Linked DNA regions of Schizosaccharomyces pombe. Changing the gene in region 4 together with the main gene of any one other region gives a genetic interaction. Each region holds a gene or a part of one and is shown on either strand. Other genes may lie near its edges.

The links.
Region 1: of pho7 (region 4) and aps1, changing one suppresses a phenotype caused by changing the other (phenotypic suppression), as found in Schizosaccharomyces pombe (2 studies listed by BioGRID).
Region 2: of pho7 (region 4) and ado1, changing one suppresses a phenotype caused by changing the other (phenotypic suppression), as found in Schizosaccharomyces pombe (one study listed by BioGRID).
Region 3: of pho7 (region 4) and SPOM_SPBC713.07C, changing one suppresses a phenotype caused by changing the other (phenotypic suppression), as found in Schizosaccharomyces pombe (one study listed by BioGRID).

The regions. Positions count from the first base shown.
Region 1 is NC_003424.3:198,455-202,060, forward strand, and holds aps1 (diadenosine 5',5'''-p1,p6-hexaphosphate hydrolase Aps1), read left to right. Parts: upstream 1-1,583; 5' UTR 1,584-1,780; coding exon 1,781-2,413; 3' UTR 2,414-3,063; downstream 3,064-3,606. Other genes in the region: chs1 (chitin synthase I), read right to left, coding at 1-261; SPOM_SPAC13G6.13 (uncharacterized protein), read left to right, coding at 430-777.
Region 2 is NC_003421.2:1,349,137-1,352,953, reverse strand, and holds ado1 (adenosine kinase), read left to right. Parts: upstream 1-1,835; 5' UTR 1,836-1,869; coding exon 1,870-2,892; 3' UTR 2,893-3,317; downstream 3,318-3,817. Other genes in the region: COG complex subunit Cog4, read left to right, coding at 1-961; dolichyl-diphosphooligosaccharide--protein glycotransferase subunit Wbp1, read left to right, coding at 3,556-3,685, 3,732-3,817.
Region 3 is NC_003423.3:877,893-884,136, reverse strand, and holds SPOM_SPBC713.07C (polyphosphatase), read left to right. Parts: upstream 1-2,048; 5' UTR 2,049-2,484; coding exon 2,485-4,218; 3' UTR 4,219-4,308; downstream 4,309-6,244. Other genes in the region: MIM complex subunit Mim1, read right to left, coding at 1,462-1,677; adl1 (DNA ligase), read right to left, coding at 4,309-6,244. UniProt on the Schizosaccharomyces pombe protein: Catalyzes the hydrolysis of inorganic polyphosphate (polyP) chains of many hundreds of phosphate residues into shorter lengths.
Region 4 is NC_003423.3:1,344,555-1,349,930, reverse strand, and holds pho7 (transcription factor Pho1), read left to right. Parts: upstream 1-1,956; 5' UTR 1,957-2,465; coding exon 2,466-4,682; 3' UTR 4,683-4,819; downstream 4,820-5,376. Other genes in the region: protein Cbp4, read right to left, coding at 1,068-1,130, 1,309-1,427, 1,515-1,551.

The DNA.
Region 1 (3,606 bases), on a different chromosome or scaffold from region 4:
ACCTTCAAATGGAGATTGAATACTTTCCGTTTCATCTTTTAAATAATAATCGAGATCAAATTCTTTATCAGGAATAATGATTTTCGGTTTTAGAGGTTTTTTATTTTTATCAAATAAAATGGACGAAGTATCACTGTTTAATGACAAATTGGTGATTGTAGGATATAAGTGATTGGTTTCAACAATATCTTTATTTGTTAATCCAGCTGATTCCTCCTCATCAGGAGGGCGTGGTAGCGTTTTTTTGAACCACCTTCTCATCTTCAAGAGCCGTAGAAACGAGCCTCAAATCGCTCTATCAAATATACGCTTAGATTTTTTCTGTAAAGCAGCATCCAAGTTTATGATAGTGAGAATCAATTTTGGGGAGACAATTACAGTTGTAATGATTGAAACAATGGTTTGTTTAACCCTGAATGCTTGTCAACAATGTTTCAATTGCCAATGATTGTAGAAGCCAACGATATGAAAATAAAATATTATAAAAGAAGGAATTGTTATACTCTTTTAATATTTAAATACAAAGAGAGTAAGAAGATTAATGTTTACAAAAGAAAAAAAAGTGATGAGGTGGTGGAAGATTGCAACAAACTAAAGTGTACTTTTTTTATGATTGAAGAATGGCATTTACTCGCTATATTGTATGACAAATCTAAATACATAAAAATAATTATTTGTTCCGTATTGTTAAAACTAAATACAACTGTAATTATAAGAAGGAATACACATACCAAAGTTTATGTTATGAACAAATTTTATCAAAAGCTTAAAAAGTAAATCATATCTCATTATTTATTCATATAAAAAAAATTAAAAAATAACAATTTATACAATGGCTTGCTAAGGTATATAACAAAGCAAACGAAAAGCCAATTTTCTTCCAACATTACTCATTTTATTTAGATATATTATTATTTTAAACGATTTTCTTTTTATTCCAAACGTAATAGAAGTAGTTGAATTGTATAAATTATTGTTTTTTATATAATAAACATTTTTTTTCGCTATAATAATTGTTTTAAATAAAACAGATATTGGGAATTTAAATTATCCAATCTTTTTTTTGTTAAATTATTTTATTTTATTTTCCTCGACATTAAAATGCATCAACAATTGGTTAGTGTTAATTGATTCTCTTACTATCAATATTATCAGATTCAAAAAGCCCAACTTATCAAGAGTTAGTGAAGGAATCAGCAATGATCAGATAGAACAACAGAACAGTAAATACAATGCAAAACTTCGAAAACCGTGTATTAAAAGATTAAGACTTACAGATTTTCTACAAGCGTACTCCTTTTAAAAAGCCTCATTTTGTCCAAAGAATTGATAATGTGGGTATTTTTCGATGCGAAATCTACGAATACAAACAACTTCGCAAATTGGAGATTACTGCATACAAAATGAAAATGTATTTTCCTCGCAAGCTATTTATTTTGAAAAATTATAAATTACCTATTTTCTAATACAATCTCTCATTTTAAATATCACCGCAAATTATTTGGTCTCCGACAACTGTTTAGCGTGTCGGTTTGTACTTCACTATTTCGTTATCCCAACCTAAATCACTGGGAGAAACCTTCGGAAAACCACTTTTCGCGATCGATTTATATTCATCGGAATAGGAGATTTATATCTCTTCCTTGTTCAAAAAGAACTCAGATTCTTTTGAACATCTTGCTTTTGCCTTTTCAGACATCGTTTCCTTACTCTACCATAAGGCAAGAAATTATACCAAATCCATTCAACTTGTCGAAAAGAAGAGTACTTTATAGTTCATATGCTTGAAAATAACGGAAGTGTGATTTTAATGGAGCCGGATCATCTACGGACGGCAGTGAACCGCTCAATGACTTCTCGTGAAGGTCGAACGAAAAATCGATTCAATCCTATTACAGGAGCCAGACTTGCTGCGGGTGTTGTTGCTTTATCTGCAGACAAAAGGAAAGTCCTATTAGTTTCTTCTGCTAAAAAACATCCTTCTTGGGTAGTTCCTAAGGGTGGATGGGAGGCTGATGAATCTGTTCAGCAAGCTGCCCTTCGTGAAGGTTGGGAAGAAGGCGGACTAGTGGGTCATATCACTAGATCCCTTGGGTCTTTCAAGGATAAGCGTCCTACTGATACTATTGACAGAAGGAAAAAATATTTGAAGCAATTAATGTCAAAAAGTAGCGGAAATGACGTCTCAACCAATACCGAGTTAGGAGCCGAAGCAGAGAAATTATTACTTCCACCTAGAGCCGAATGTGAATTTTTTGAAGTTATTGTTGAAAGATTAGAAGACAATTACCCAGAGATGAGGAAGCGTCGCCGAAAATGGATGTCTTATCAAGAAGCAAAGGAAGCGTTGACAAGTCGTAAAGATATTTTGGCAGCTCTTGAGAAGAGCTCTATCATTAAAGAGGAAAACTGAAGTACAGATGCATAATGTTTACCATTTGCAACCTTTTATTCAAATATTTTAATTTACCATTTTTTTTGATTTCTTGCTTCAATATTTATCTTTTTCCATGGGATTACGAAATTGTTATATCTATTAGTTACCATGTCAAGTGTGTTAAAAAGGCTTGAAGTTTGCAAATCTTGATTCTTATTTTTTTTTTCAGCAAGCTGGGTCAAATTGAGTTTTCGACATAAAGCTCATTTCATGAAACATATATCCTTTAAAGGATTTCAGCGGTACAGCATATATTCCAGCAGTTCAACTGCTATTTTTTCTTTCCTTTTTTAAAAGTTTTTACTCTCTTTGTATATTTTCGATTAAGATCATTGTCTGCATAACATACTAATTCTATTTATAAATATATTTTCAATTGAATCGCATGATAATTCAAATTTTTTAAAACAAAGTTTCATTCCTTAAAAAATCATCTAATCCCACCTGTTTGATGCTAGGGTGCGAGTTAATCGTTATCGTTGTGTGCTATGCATAAAAAGCACATTAGTTGCTAGCATATTAATTGTTTGCAACCAATTTTGATTAGTGACGTTAATAAAAACAAAATTGTTCCATACGGTAAAACGTATTCGTTGTTAGATACTAATGAGCCCAAGAAGTTTCGTGTGTCAATTTGAATATGTCGTGTAATTTTATATTGGCTTTCAGCAATCATATAGCTATGAATTATAGTGAATCCATTGACGCTCATTACACTTACGTGCGATAATTTTAAAAAATACTTTTCAATTAGTAGTAAATAGATAGCGAAACGACGAACTATAGCAAACATCAATCCGTTAGTATAAATATTCGTACAAAATGCTTATATAAGAATTTGAGAATTACTTAATATATTTGATTGACGTTGTTCAACGTGAAAATGTACATAAAAGCAATTTATAACCACACCTAAAAATCCAAACAAACTGCAAAATTAAAAACGTAGGATTTAGCAGTTATGTTAGTAAAGCTTCAGCTATCAGAATAAAAAATTTTTAGAAAAAGAAACAAGAAGAAAATACATATATATATTTTTATTTTCAGAACTTTGACGGTCATAGCCAATTCTTTTAAAAATGAACTAAATAGCACTGTCTCACATTCTAACAATTGTCGTTAATCCTGTTAGATCCCAGCATAAGTTTCTGGATCTAATCTGAACGAGA
Region 2 (3,817 bases), on a different chromosome or scaffold from region 4:
TGAGGAATATTACACAAAGGTTTCCCCATGGATGAGCTCTATTGTAGACGATGTCATGTACGTTACGAAGCAAGTATTCCAACGTGCGTTTTTTACAGTCTCCTCTTTATTCTTCACCAGATTTGTTAACGAAAGCTTAATCCCTATTTTAAGAAATGATTACTATGTCTACCTTTCCCATAATCTTTTAACTGTCTGTAACATTATAAAAGCTCAGTTCCAGAGGCTAAAGAATGCAAATAGCATTCCCGCCAAACAAGTCGAAAACTACATAACATTGGTAAATAGTGCTTCACTCAGCAAGCAATATCTAAAATCAATTGTGGATGGTGTTTCTAGTCGGTTGGAAGAAGTTTTTGCCTTTGCCAAAGACCAAAAATTGGTAAAGAAATCGATTGATAATTTTTTGCAGCTAACCGTTAATTTTGAAAATCTTTGCAAGACTTCTTTCAACATGTACTTTCCGATATTTTTATTACCCCGAATTGAGCAATGCATCGATGATTCCTTTGATGGAATCAACTATGTCTTGTCCTATGAAGACTATACGAAGGAGACAGAACATGAAAGACTGGTAGTTACCCGTCTTCGCAGCGTTTGGGACAGGGTTTTGTTGCTGGAGCAATTTACTCCTGAAAATCAGCTTTCTTTACGCTCTATGGCATGCGAGAAAGCTGCAAGTTATATAGAAAACCTCATACTATATAAGATTCAGTGGAATGATTATGGTGCTATGGCATTAGAAAACGACATTTCTAGCTTAATTACTATCTTTTCCAATGATCAAGCTAATCTCCGACATAGCTTTGAGCGTTTGCAAGAAATTCTAATCTTATTAGTATGGGAAAGTGATTCTACAGCCCCAGAGCAATTGATCAACGATTTAAACCTACAGCTACTATCCATAGATATTGTTAGCGCTATTATGGAAAAGAAAGCGAATGTTCAAGGTGAAGATTAACGACCTTTTTTATTCAGGATATTTGAAGAAGCACCAAAAGTTCTTTAGTTGTAATCTCCTGTCATATCCTAAATTTATCCTAAAAAACGGCGGATCATCGTCTCCACGTTTAGCATGATGCCGATATCTATTTTTTTTTCACTCTATTTTTGTTTTTATTTCTTTATTCGTATATTGAAAATTTTGACAACCGGCTACCCTGACGCAGTGCAACTCGATCATCATTTATCTTAGTTTATTATTTCTTCCACACTTTGATAAGTTTTCCGCTAAAAGTTGAAGCAACCCCTTTGTTAAAAAAATAATACAGGAATGGAGTTAATATTCATGACCAATTGTATATAGCATCAAATATCGACTCTTTTAATCTTTATTAGTTCTAATTTTTCTCGTGATCGGCCTTCTTAAATAAGTATTGTGATTATAATATACCGAGGCGCAAAGGAGTGTGATACAGTTTATATCGTTTAATTATGCAGTTTGCAATCAGTTTAATGAAGGTTAAAATTGCGATGAGTATTAGTTGTGACCTAGAATTCCAGTATACAGGTACAATAAGTAACATACACTGTCAATCTTCAGTTACATAGTATTATATTTTTCACCAATATAGCTAATAACTGAAATTGAGGATGCTTGTACAGTTATGCTTATATTGATAATTTTTTTAGCTGCTCAAATTTTAATAGTTTATTAAAAATAGTATGCCTTTACCATACAATATATAGCGAAAGATAAACAGACCATATGGCATGTATCGATATTTAACGCAGTATAGTATTAATAATATAACGCATTACAATTATGCCATAATATCGCTCTTTGAACATTAAGATACTTTACCTGTTGGTGTATTTTCTCGTGGTTTTTCTTTAACTTTTTCCCTTCCCTTACTACAATCATTTATCATGTCTTCATACATCTTGTTTGGTTTGGAAAACCCTCTGTTGGATTACTATGTTGGTGGTGAAACTGCAACTCTTGAAAAGTATGGCTTGAAGAGCAACGACGCCGTCTTAGCTTCTGAGAGCCAGATGGGTATCTACAAGGAGCCATGCGTTAGCTACAGTGCCGGTGGTGCAGCTCAAAACAGCTGCCGTGCTGCTCAATACGTACTTCCTCCTAACTCTACTGTTTTCGCCGGCTGCGTTGGTCAAGATAAGTTTGCTGATATGCTTCTTGAATCGAACGAAAAAGCTGGATTACGATCTGAGTTTTCTGTTGATCCCACTACACCTACTGGTGTTTGTGCTGTCGTCTTGAGCAACAACAATAAAAATCGCTCCCTTTGTACCAACTTGGGAGCTGCTAACAACTACAAGCTCAAGGACTTGCAACAGCCGAATGTATGGAAGTTCGTTGAGGAAGCAAAGGTTATTTACGTCGGTGGTTTTCACTTGACCGTCAGTCCCGAATCCATGTTATGTTTAGCTCAACATGCTAATGAGAATAACAAGCCCTATATCATGAATCTTAGCGCTCCTTTCCTCTCTCAATTTTTCAAGGAGCAAATGGATTCCGTTATCCCATATTGTGATTATGTTATTGGCAACGAAGCTGAAATCCTTAGCTACGGGGAGAATCATGGAATCAAAAGTACCGACGTCCAGGAGATTGCGCTGGCCTTGTCTTCTGTTGAGAAGGTTAACAAGAAACGCACCCGTGTTGTTGTCATTACTCAAGGAGCCGATGCCACGATCGTTGCTAAAGACGGTAAAGTAACCACTTACAAGCCCAACCGCGTCCCATCTGAGGAAATCGTCGATACCAATGGTGCCGGAGATGCCTTTGCTGGTGGATTTATTGCTGCTCTTTCTCAAGGCCAAGGAATCGATTATGCTGTTACTCTCGGTCATTGGCTTGGACAAGAATGCATCAAGGTTAGCGGCACTACTCTTCCTCTTCCCAAAAAGCAGTTCCCTTTACCTTAGACTATTGCATTTTAGTGATTTTTTAAACTGTCAACGTAGATAACGCACTTCGTTTTAATTAGATGTTTAACTTTAAAAATTGTGCACACTATGATTGCAATTAGTTAGAAAAGCAGGCTTTATTCTTTGACATTGATATTTTGTTATCTTATTGATATGTCATGGGTTCTGTCGTATCATTGTTATAAGCTAATAGAACAAGTCTATTTTTGCTAAGCTGATATAAATAACTGGATATTATATTGCAAGGAAATAACCCATTTTGACTTCTTGAGGGATTTGTATATGCCATTTATTCCAATGTTAAGAAATTTGCTAAATAAAGCATTGCTGAGGGGAGCTAAGCTAACGCTGATTTTATTACCGAGAATATTTCTTTGTTGAATAGAAATATAAAGAATTTAAATTCATTTCAATCGATGGAATTTAGGATTTCAAATAAAAATTGGACGAATTACTTTTATAATAGTGTACTGTTGAGTAAATTTTTACGTGTCTTTATGTTATTGAAAGTAGTTTAGCGTTATTTTGAATGCTCTTATAAAAATATCGTTAATTAGTTCAACGCAATCCCATAAGCACCAGTATGCGGAGGTAGCTATGCTTGGTTAATACCAGTGATCTCTTCTTCTACCAACATTTGCACTTGGAAACACAGCTACGATGAAGAGCGCATTGTGTATTGCTTTGGCCCTTACATGGTCGCTTTTAGTACAAGCAGCTCGTCAGACGGTTTTGGCTGTTGCCGACCATGATATCGGTGGATATAGCACATTTTTACAATCACTTACGGGTACGATATTGACTAACGCGTTCAGTAACTAACTGTTACTATGTAGACAGAGATTTTGATGTGAAAACTTCTTACATCAAAGATGAAAGTGCAAAGCTATTTGAATATGGTGAACGTCTTTACGACAACTTG
Region 3 (6,244 bases), 470 kb from region 4:
TAAAACAGATTCGTTAACAAAGAACCTTTTGAAATTACTTGAGTTAATGGTTTATTCTTTTCGCGAAATTCTATATCGCTGTAATTTGTGTGATCGTAGACTTCCTATTTGTGTTGGATGCGTACTAAAGTTTGCTTGGAATCCTGTTAATACATGTTTTTAAAAACCACTGAAAGTGTATAGCAATGCTTGTAGAGCGTATATCCAAGATTTAAATAATATGCTATGTAATTCTGTGCGATGGGTAATATAGTTAATTATTTAAATAGCTATAAAATATAGAACGACTACTGTTTAGGTTTGTCCATGCTACATCTTGGAAGAAAATAGAAATATAGTATTCTTGTTGGCTAATGCAATAAATCTTCAAGTTTATATAGCAAATTGTGAAGTCAGTATTCGTAAATTTGACAAAAATTTAATGATAATTTATTTTTTCAGATTTGCTGACTTTAAGTAGTCGGTATCTGCTTTTTATGCATAAACAAGAAGATTCAGTTCGAGGATCAGAATCCTTTTTTGTATCATCAAACTTGAAATTGTCTTATAACATCATTAAAGCCAACCGAGTGTACCAAGCATGCGATAATGTAAGTTTTAAGAATCATTCAAAAGTATATTTTTCAAAGCTTGAGCAACGACAGAAATAACCTGTAAAATTCTAATGAATCAATGGGCTGTGCAATCAATTTATAATCAGTTGAGATTTGTTGCTCTGAGAATAGTAATACTTACACGCCTTTACAAATAAGCGTGTTTTAGTCATTAAGTTAGAGCACTATCGTTGTTCGAATACAATAACAATTATTTAAAAAAGCGATGTGATGAGGAAAACAACAAAAAGCGTAGTACTGTCATTCAAATCAAAGTAATGTAAAAATAATGAACAATTTTAAACAATGATGATAGCTTCGATACTTGTCTCACAGCTCATATAAATCTTCGTTGACACCTTTTTCTATACTATGCTACTCAAATCAATTTGTCGGTCCGAAGAAGCGATGTATAACGTGTCACATAATGTTAATATAAAGGGCATAAATAAAATCAAAAGTAATTATACTTAAAAAACAGAAGAAGGAAGCTCAAGGAAAACGATCATAAATAAATTAAATGCAAAGGAAATTAAATGTTATTTTGCAAATATAAACACAATTCATTTGGGCTTAATTCGTTTTCCATCCCTTGAGCATATATATTCTTTGCATTGTGCCAAAGAAGCTCTTAATATTGTGGGAAAAGAAAATAAAAACAATAAAACTAAAGAAAACGATCATTAAAGAGAGTGCAAAGCTGAAACCATAATACATCTGAGAGAAACATGAGTTAAGCATTCGAGTATCTCAAATTTTATGAATACTCGCCTCAGCTTAAAATGAAAAAATAAAAAAATCACGAATAAGCAAACACCATTTCCCTCAAATATTAAAGATAAATTTCCTCGCACAGCTATGCTTCATTTTAGGCTTGAATATACTGATGTCTTTGAATAGAATAAATCCTAGTATGACCTGGAGCCCAACCAAGAGAGTGGATAAATGCATGAGCAAAGATCTCCCCGAATCCCAACATAACTCCATTCAAGAAAGGAAGGCCCAAATTAATTGCCGCATACTTGAAAATATGAATAACTTGTGAAAACAAGGTTTTTGGAACTGTAACTGTATTTTTCTCCATCCTGCTTGTCCAACAAATACTATAACGAAACGAACCAACCGGTAATCAACACAATTTTCAAATAACTCCTTTAGAGAAGTTTTTATATCAACTTTCAAAGCAATTGCACGAATAATATTTTTGGCGTAAATTCTATTATTAAGAATCAACTGAGTTGATGGGGCAAGTATATGTGGAAGGATACTTTATTCCCAATCAAAATTACGAGTGTCCCGTTCTTAGATGCTGTCAACGCTTTAAGGCGTCAGGACAATGGTTAATGAGCAAAACACTTTCCTCCTTATTCATTTAACGAAATTAAGTTAGTAACTAATACCGTAATGCAAGCTCTGACAAAATATAAAATGCGACATCTTTCATCATACATATATAGCGGTGAACACAACATTCGTCTTCACTAGGGAAGAGTATCACGGATCTTTTAACTGCTTCCATTACGAGCATCGAATAGTCCAAACCCAAATTAAGTGTTCTCTGGGGTTTGCAAAGCTCAGAAGCAACTTCTATTGACTCTGCAGGACTTCGGTTCATGACTACCCGCTCGTGATCTTAATTTAGATCGATCTTTTTGTCAAACAGATTAACAATACTTATTTCATTAACGGCTACTGGGAAATTTTGATTTATTTAAGTTGTACTGAGTTCAAAAGCCCTTGAATCTTTCAAACACCATTTTTTGTTTTTGAAATTGCCTGGGAAATTGTATTACAGATTTTGGAAAATTTCGTCCTAGTCTGAAGTGTCCTCTTTTTTTCTACTTAGGTAAAGTTTTTTTTTCTTTTATATACCGATTTCCTTCTTTTTAGAATGCGTCCCTCTGTAATCACGGTTGCTGTTCTTTTTGTACAGTCGACATGGGCTTCTTTTGCATTTGGCAACCCTATGAGTATGCGAAATAAAGCGCATACAAATGATTTAGTTAATAGCAAAGGAAAACCACTTGTTGGTAGATTTTTGCATATCACCGATATGCATCCTGACATTTATTACGAAAAAGGATCCACCGTCGATCATTATTGTCATTCCTATGATCATAATTCTGACGATACTCCCTTGGGTAAAAGCAAAGTGGGTTACCTCTCTCCTGGTCCTGGTTATGAATGTGATTCTTCACCAGCATTAATTGATAAGACATTGGAATGGCTTAAGGAACATCAAGATGATGTTCTGGGAGGCATTGACTTCATACTGTGGACTGGTGATAATTCTAGGCATGACAATGATAACCATTTTCCAAGAACACAAAGTGAAATTCTTGCTTCAAATGAGGACTTGGTTAATAAAATGATAGAGGCGTTTCCTGACGTTCCAATTGTTTCCGCTATCGGGAATAATGATATATATCCTCATAACATTATGGAAGCTGGTCCATCTTCAATGACTCGACAACTAGCTGGTGCTTGGGATGCTTTAATTCCTTATGAGGAACGACACACTTTTGAAAAGGGCTCTTATTACCTATGTGATGTGATTCCGGACAAGCTAGCAGCAATTTCCATTAACACTCTTTACCTATCAAACAAAAATGCCGCGGTCGATGGTTGTCCTGATGATAATCTAGACGAACCTGGTTCTCTTTTTATGCGATGGTTCAAAATACAGCTTGAAGCGTATCGGCTAAAGGGAATGAAAGTTTGGCTTCTAGGACATATTCCCCCTACAAGGGGCCAGTGGTATGAAGATTGTTATACTTCTTTTACGGATTTGCTTTATGAGTTTCGAGATATTATAGTTGGACAACTCTATGGTCATATGAACATAAACCATTTTGTGTTTTTGGAATTCGATAAGTTACCTGTTGATACAGAATCTTATGGAATCAAAAGTGCGCAACCAAAATATGTAAAATCTTTAATTGATGCCCAATACGCGGAGCTTCCTACATTTCCCGAGAATTTAACAGAGGAGTTTCTTAATGGAACCGTCGGGAATTACTCCTTGGCTACCGTTGGTGGTTCGATTATACCTGAAATGTTTCCAACTTTTCGCGTTTACGAGTACAATATTTCTGATATTGCTAATCAGCTGGATGATCGGGAAGAGCTAACTGAAATCACTTCTTTTAACTGGGAAACGCTTGAAGAGCAGTCTCAATCAGATTATGAGATAGACAAGAAAAAGAAGAAAAAAAAGAAGAATAATAAAAAAAAGAAGAAGAACAAGAGGAAGAATATTAAGCCCGGTCCTTTGGGACCGGCATACGTTCCGTCACTTTTTACTCCTATTTCATTTAAGCAGTATTTCTTAAACACGTCAAATTACATGGATGCAACGAAAGATACCGAAATTTCTTATGAATTGCTATATACTTCGAAGGACTCTCCATATAATATGCCTGATTTAACTGTGCCAGAGTATATGCGTCTAGCAAAAAGAATAGCAACTTGTGACAAACCAGAAGATCCTCATCAATTCAAATTACAGAGTGGCGATCAAAACACTTTTAGAATTTCTAAAAAGAAGAAGCCATCTATTTGTCCGATAGCCTATACATATCTTTGGCATGCGTATATTGGTTCAATATCGGATTTTGAGGACTGATGATTGATATATTTGTTGCCATACCTTTAATAATATTTATTTAATATACAATCAACGATGTTCCTTGACATTTTGAGTTCATCACGAACATCAAGTATTAAGTTGTTTCATATACATGTCAGCCAATATTGAATTCGTGGATGCGTCCTCTGGTCCTTTGTCTGACCGAACTCTAATGAAGCGTGGGAATCGAATTGATAAACCGCGATCATCCTGAATTAATCCCAAAGCCGCCTTGTATGCAGGTGAGGATGTTATTTGAGCACCCTTAATTTCCCAAACTTCTTGAGGGGCAAAGTATATTTGTGGAGTTACCTTACCTGTTTCGCAAAAATTATATATGGGTTTAAGACTGCTATTGCCAGATTCTAAGGAATACTTTTGTGTTAATTCCTTATAAAATTGGTCACTAAAACCGGACATGCATTTACAGACTGCTTCATACGCGCCAGTGTCTGGATTGTAAACAGCAAGCAAAATTGGACTGAACCATCCGGCTTTTCTTCCATTACCGTACCAAGCGCCTATGGGAACAAGATCCAATGACTCAAATTCATCATCATAATCCTGTTTGACTTTAATCCATCCCTCACCTCTTTTATCAGGTTCATACGTTGAAGGAAACTTTGAGTTTGTTCCATTCAGTACCTTCACCATTAATCCTTCGCATTTATTAGTAATTGCAAGACTAAAAAATTCTTGAATGGATTGCTCCTCATTTGTTTCCAAAGAAGACACGAACTGAAAGCGATTTGGAATTAAATTAAAATGCTCAAAAAACATTCTTCTTCTTTCAATTAAAGGCATTTGTAAGCAAGATTTCCCATCACAAAACATAATATCAAAAACAAAAACACACACGTCTATTGTAATATCAGCCACTGTAACTTTTTTTCTTTCTCTAGTTGAAAGTTTTTGAAAATCCAGTATCTGACCATTACTTTTGTCAATAGCCACCAATTCGCCTTCTATAATAAAATCACATGAATGTTTCAATGCTAATTGAGCAACTTCAATGACATCCGGAAATCTTCCTGTAATTTCCTCCAAATGGCGGCTAAATATCTTAATGTTTCCAAGTCTATCGCAATGAATTTGTGCTCTTTGTCCATCGTACTTGAACTCACAAGAGAAGTTATGATCAGTCAATCTTTCTAACATATGCTGCAAATTCTTTGTGATAGAACCAAGCATAGGTTTTACTGGGATTCCAGGGCGAATAGACATATTGTCTTTTAAGTTTTCTATCCCCTCTCGAAGAAGGGTTGCAACCAAAATGTTATAATCAGGGACCTGAAAGAAACTTTGTTTAACAATCTCTTCTCCTTGACGAAATTGTTGTTGAAGTGAGTCAGAATTAAAATTAAATATTTCGTTTTGATTGTCAAAAATAAAAAAAGCTTTGCTTAGTGAAGCTAACATGGTGTTTTGAACAGCCCCTATTCTTAGATTTTGCATTATACTCCTCCCTATATATCGAACCTCCTCAGCATTAGAACTTATCAATAAAAATTTAGTTAACTCTAATTTACGGTTCTGGGCACCATTACCGTTACTGTCAGCAATCTTTAGTAAAGTAGAATAAACCTTCTTAATAGTCAAAGGTTCTGGTCTGCTTAACGTGCGCACAGACACTTTAGCTTCGAACGCTACATCTCCTGGATCGCCATATTTGTTCCATAAATTTTTCAAAGCACTTGCTGTAATGCCACAAACTTCTTTCAAAGCTTTAGAGTACATTGCAGGTCCGACACCAAGGTTTTTTCCATAAAAGTTGGGGGCAATAGAATTGGTACATAACCAAACTGTTGCAATTAAGGAATCAGGATCTGCATACAGAAGTGTGAGAAGGAAATTGGTTAATAATGTGACAATGCGTATCCTGGATTTGGTAGAACTAATTAAGGAAAAGGTGTTAGCAAGTGATGAGTAACTGAAGCTTTTTGTATCTTTTGAAACAAATCGGGCTCGACAACTTTTCACGTAAGTCAAAGGATCTTTCTGTAAAGCATCGTAATCAATTGTG
Region 4 (5,376 bases):
CTAGTTCATATGATATAACAATTTTTAAATACAAAAATTCAGTAATATCCCTAATGTTCAAGTGTTTATCGAATACTTGATGTTAAGCAGTAGCAAAAAATGCTACTACCGAAATACATGGTACATACGCCAATGGTTTTGTCGCCTCCATTAACATAAAGAATTTAGCAAGGGCTTTTACATTATCAAATACATAAAGAGTTTTTCAAGCATTTTTTTCCATTGAAGAATCGTGCGTTAGTATTTCATAATGGTGAAGCAAACAGCTGTCTTCAAGACAACAAACTGTACAACACGCTTCCTCATGAAAGACACCAGCTGAGTATTCAATCATCATTCTCTTTGTAGATTTAAGAATATATCTATATTACTTATCGTTTTCGTCAAATCATTTTTTCAAACGTTTCATATGAGTATATTAGCAAGTAAACAATCAATACTTTTGGGAAATAAGCCTCTCAAAATACCAGAATGGGCGAGGTATTTCATTAAAAGTTTCGTTGACGATTTCAAAATGAAAATGTGTTTTTTGTTACAAATACGTGGAAATGGGGTGTTTACCTATTGGATGTATTCTCGTGTATTTTGAGAAAGAAGTACCAAAATTTAAAGTGAGGAAACTAAAGACTTATTTCGCTTTCAAAAGAGCTGAAGTTGCTGGATGCTTACAAGTCTTCCATTTTTATTGATAGTGGGCTTGATATGAGTCAAATCAGGCAAAAGTAATATATACACTGTTGAAAATACAACGGTCTGATAATAGTCATTCATTATCGTTCATATCCATAATCAAATGAATCATTAATTTTCAAATAAGCACAAGTTACGTTTTTTTGTTTTGTAAGGTTTTATACGAATACGCGATAGATTAAGTGAAAAAAAAAAAAAAATCAGAAATCATCAATAGTAGCACGATGAAGAAACAAGAAAATTGAAAATGACCCATCAATGGGAAACGCTCGTTTTTTTGTAAGTCCTAGGAAAGTAACTTTTAGATATATATTTGAGAGAGGAAGATCGAAACATTGAGATGATAAAATTAAAATGAATTGAGTAAGAATACTCGCTTAAACAAGGTTTTTAGGATTTCGTTTTGCGTCTTCAATCATTCGTAAAACACCTTCGGCTTGCTACTCAAAGTCAGTTTCATAGAATACGAACAAAAACCATTGAAAGCAAACACCACGTTTGAAGAAGGTAAAGGGAAATATTAAGGAAGACTTAATATTCTCTCTTTTGTGGCACCCCCAAACCCACTTCAGAACCTGGAGCAAACAGTTTTAAAAAAGATTCGCTATGTATACTTACTGATCGATCTTTTTTGTTCATTTCATAAGAAGCTCGAAGATCCGGTGGAAGTGAATTGACAACTCGTTCGGGAGATGGAGTTGTTAATTTCATTGTCATATAGCCAAATCCAACGATTCCTATTTTATATACTGGTAAGTAACACAATCTTAAGTTCGGGATAGAATCTTTTCAACTAAATCGATCCTATCTCAAAATGTCCATACCAACACCGTATACGATACTTTTAACCACACGATTCATGCTTTAGGTACAACAATTCAAAATGGAGTCTGCAAAAAGCAAACAATAATAAAGGTTGTAATACAGAGAAAAAATAACAGTAAGTATAGGCTCTTGACAGCAATGCTATTGCAGACACAGATGTTATGTAAGGCACCCTATACGTGCTATATAGACGTTCCATGGATGGTTGGCCGGTTTGCAAGGCCTTGTGAAATACGCTGTATTCCGTTATTGATCTTTATTATTTTAACAGAACAGAGCGCTGTTTCGCTAAGATTGTCGAAAAAGGTATCTCCCCGCAATGCGGTGGTAGCTTAAATATAAGGTTTTTTAAGGTAAAGTGTTAAAGGCGATTACTGCGCTATGCCCCACCACCCTGTACATGCTAATTTATTACTGCTGCCACCGCTAATCAGATCTGTCGACTTCGCCCTAACACGATAAAAGAAAATCTCTCATCTTTGTCAGGAATTCATCGTTCAAGTGTTTACAAGTGATATTAAATCTGTAAACAGTTATACTGCTTTGACGAGATTGAGCTAAAAATTTATCATTGTTACCCCCCGCGTTCGTGTCATATCAGCACCTTTGATTTGAAAAAGTGTTGCTCAACTGCGGTTTTTTTCAAAAGAAAAGTACCAAGTTGTTGATCATAAAGGATATTTTTACGCGTGATTGTTTTCTTTCTTATTCTTACACAACGATCTTAGTATTCCAAACGCATTTATTCTTCTTCCATATATAGCCCATATCTCCATACTGATTCACAAAAAGCGACGAAAGTGAAGGAGCCATTGATTTAGGGATTTTGGTACTTTTCATTGTCTCCAATTCTTTTGTATTGCCTTTTTGTAACCTAAATTTTCTTAAGACGAAGGAGCATTTGTTTAAGGCTTTACTTTTATCATATTTCTTTTGTCTTTTTCGTTTGTATGCAGAAGAAAGTCGTTCAGTCTGCTTCTAAGAATGAGGAGCTTGATCCACATTACAAGCGGTCCTCCGTTCCTTTCCCTTATGGATTACCCGATTACGATGCAGAATATCAATTCATCAATCATCATATGCAACAATTGCTTACCCGCCCAGTAGAAGGTACTCATTCTGCCTCTGTACATCCCTCCACATCTTCCACCTCTCATATCTCTTCTCCCTCTGCTTTTTCAGTGCAAAACCCAAATCCAAATGATGCTCCGTTTGTGGGAAACATTGGCTTGGATGCATCTGGGTTTTCCTCCGGTGGCATGAGTGAATACTATCCAAGATCTGTTTCTATGCAACAGTCTCAAGACGTCCATTTCCAAAATACCGAAATTCCATACTACCATCGTTCTCCATCGTCTGATAGTTTTTCACCTGGGGTGGTTGCATCTGTTAACCCTAATTCAAACAACTCTCCTACTTTTTACTCAAATCCTCCTGCATTATCTAATATTCCGATTCCCTTAAACAACTCTCCCTATCGTCCTGAAGATGCTTATTTTCAGTTACAAGGTGCTGGAGTGAAGGCAGACATAAATCCATACAACTTGTCTCCCTATTCTCAATATGGTCCAGAGGGCACTGCATATTCAAATGCGCAAGCTCATCATCAGGATGGTGCTCCTTTGCAGCGCGTTTGTTCAGCACCCGATCCTCCTAAAACCTCTATGCCACCTTTTGGATCCGCCGGGAGTCCATCTCCTAATCGTAGTTTAAACGTTTCCAACAACACGACTCCTCCTCTTTCCACTGTGAATAAAATTATAAAAAAGCCTAAAGCTACTACCGGTAAAGTTAAGAAAAGACTTCCTCAGGCCAAGAGAGCTTGCGCAAAGTGTCAAAAAGACAACAAAAAATGTGATGACGCTCGTCCTTGTCAGCGTTGTATTAAAGCCAAAACTGATTGCATTGATTTACCCAGGAAGAAACGGCCAACGGGAGTTAGAAGAGGCCCTTATAAAAAATTGAGTGATACTTCGAACAACACCAAGTCAACTACTGCATCTTCTGGTCATTCCACGCAAGATTCTCTCAGTTCTAAAATGTTGGATCCTTCAAGTGACAATCAGTTTGCCATGTCTTCCAGACAGATGGATGAAAACGGAATGGCCCAGTATCCTTCCTCAGCTATTAAACAAGAACTAAATCTTCAACCCCAGATACTTGTTTCATCTGCTTCAAAGAACTTTCAACCTAATGTCACTCCTCCTTTTGCTGTCCATCATGATCATTTCAATTCAACATCAATGGATGGTGTGGCGGTATCTAACATGGACGAAACTGGAACTTCCTCAGCTGGTTCAAAGCCTTTTAATCGAAAATCTCGAAACCGAAGTTTTACTAATCCAGTTGGTATGACCGAGGAGCATTTTCTAAGAGAATATGCGCAACACTCTGTAGCTAATCCTTCTTTGCTAATTCATCAGATCCATGGTTTACCTTCTGAACAAGTCCATGGCTTATTATCTCATACGGAACTCGGTAATGCAATGCATAATCAACCGACGTATAACGAAAGCTCAATTGCCGCTGAGAATGTGAACAATTGGATGTTAGAAACGAATGACCACGAAAATTTGTCCATGCAGAGCCATTTTGAGGTTCCCGATTTAAAAATGAACCATCACGATTCTAGCTTTTTTGACCGTCACATAGACCAAACGGCTATGCCTGGACAAAATCAACATGGTACTGTTAAGAATATGGAAACAATGCACCATTTTTATCCAGACGTTCATAATTCGGAGTTTCCTGCTGCCCCAAATCCCGTCAAGTCTCAAGTTCCTTATTATTATCAATCCCAAGCTGCTGATGATGAGGAAGAAGATGTACCGGATCATCAACCTTCTTGGCGTGGGAGAATACACTCGTTTTCAATAGCTACTGATTCGTCACAGCATGTGGTAGAAAGACCATGTATCCATTCATTAAGAGGAATACATGGACAACAGGATGGCGGGCTTGAACAACATGATGGTGATCATGTGAATATGCTTCCTGATACCCATGCGGAGGAGCTAGCGTACACATCCATGCTTTTATTTCATGATATACCTACACGAGACATTAGACCCGACTTTAACGTTCATGAGCTAGTCGATCATGGAACCTATCCTAACTTCCATCAAAACCAAGCCGATTCATTCAAGAATCATCCCTTTAGACAATAATTTTGCGCATATTACCTTTGTTTTTCTCGTTTCTTATTTTGTTTTTGCATTTGAGTGTTTCTCAGTAGATTGACCTACACTATGAATATTGTCAGACGACAGATCATCTTATGATCAAACGTAAGACAATGTGAAAAAAAAAGGAAAATGATTTTTTACTCCCATTTATTACTTTTTTTTTACTCTTCTCTCTCTCTTTGCCAAATTGCCATCTGGACCTATCTTTCTAATATCGGTCTAGTAATTTTGATATACTATGGATGCCCTTTTTGTCTTGTATTCTGCTTACATTGATTAAGAATGTTTTATCTTTCGTTTTCTTTGTGTCTATTTATATTTATTTTTGGGTATATTTTGGGAAAGAAAGTCGTTTTGGGATAAATGTGATCGTACAGATGACGAAAGAAGTTACTATATGTGATTTTCTAAGTATTTGTACCATTTAAGTGTGTCGTTTTCTTATTTTTACTGCTATTGTTATAAACGTTTTGTTATTTAGCCTATTGTGCATTCAACTTTCATTTGCTTCTTTTTCCGTTTTAGAGTTTGTAAAGAGATTTTTGTCATTATTAATCTTATTAATTTATACCAGTTTGGATATCCTGGTATAATGGCTTGACATTACACTTGCATTCATTCGTTGTGAATGTGATAAACACGATCGCATATATAATTAATTTGTCTCATATGCTGT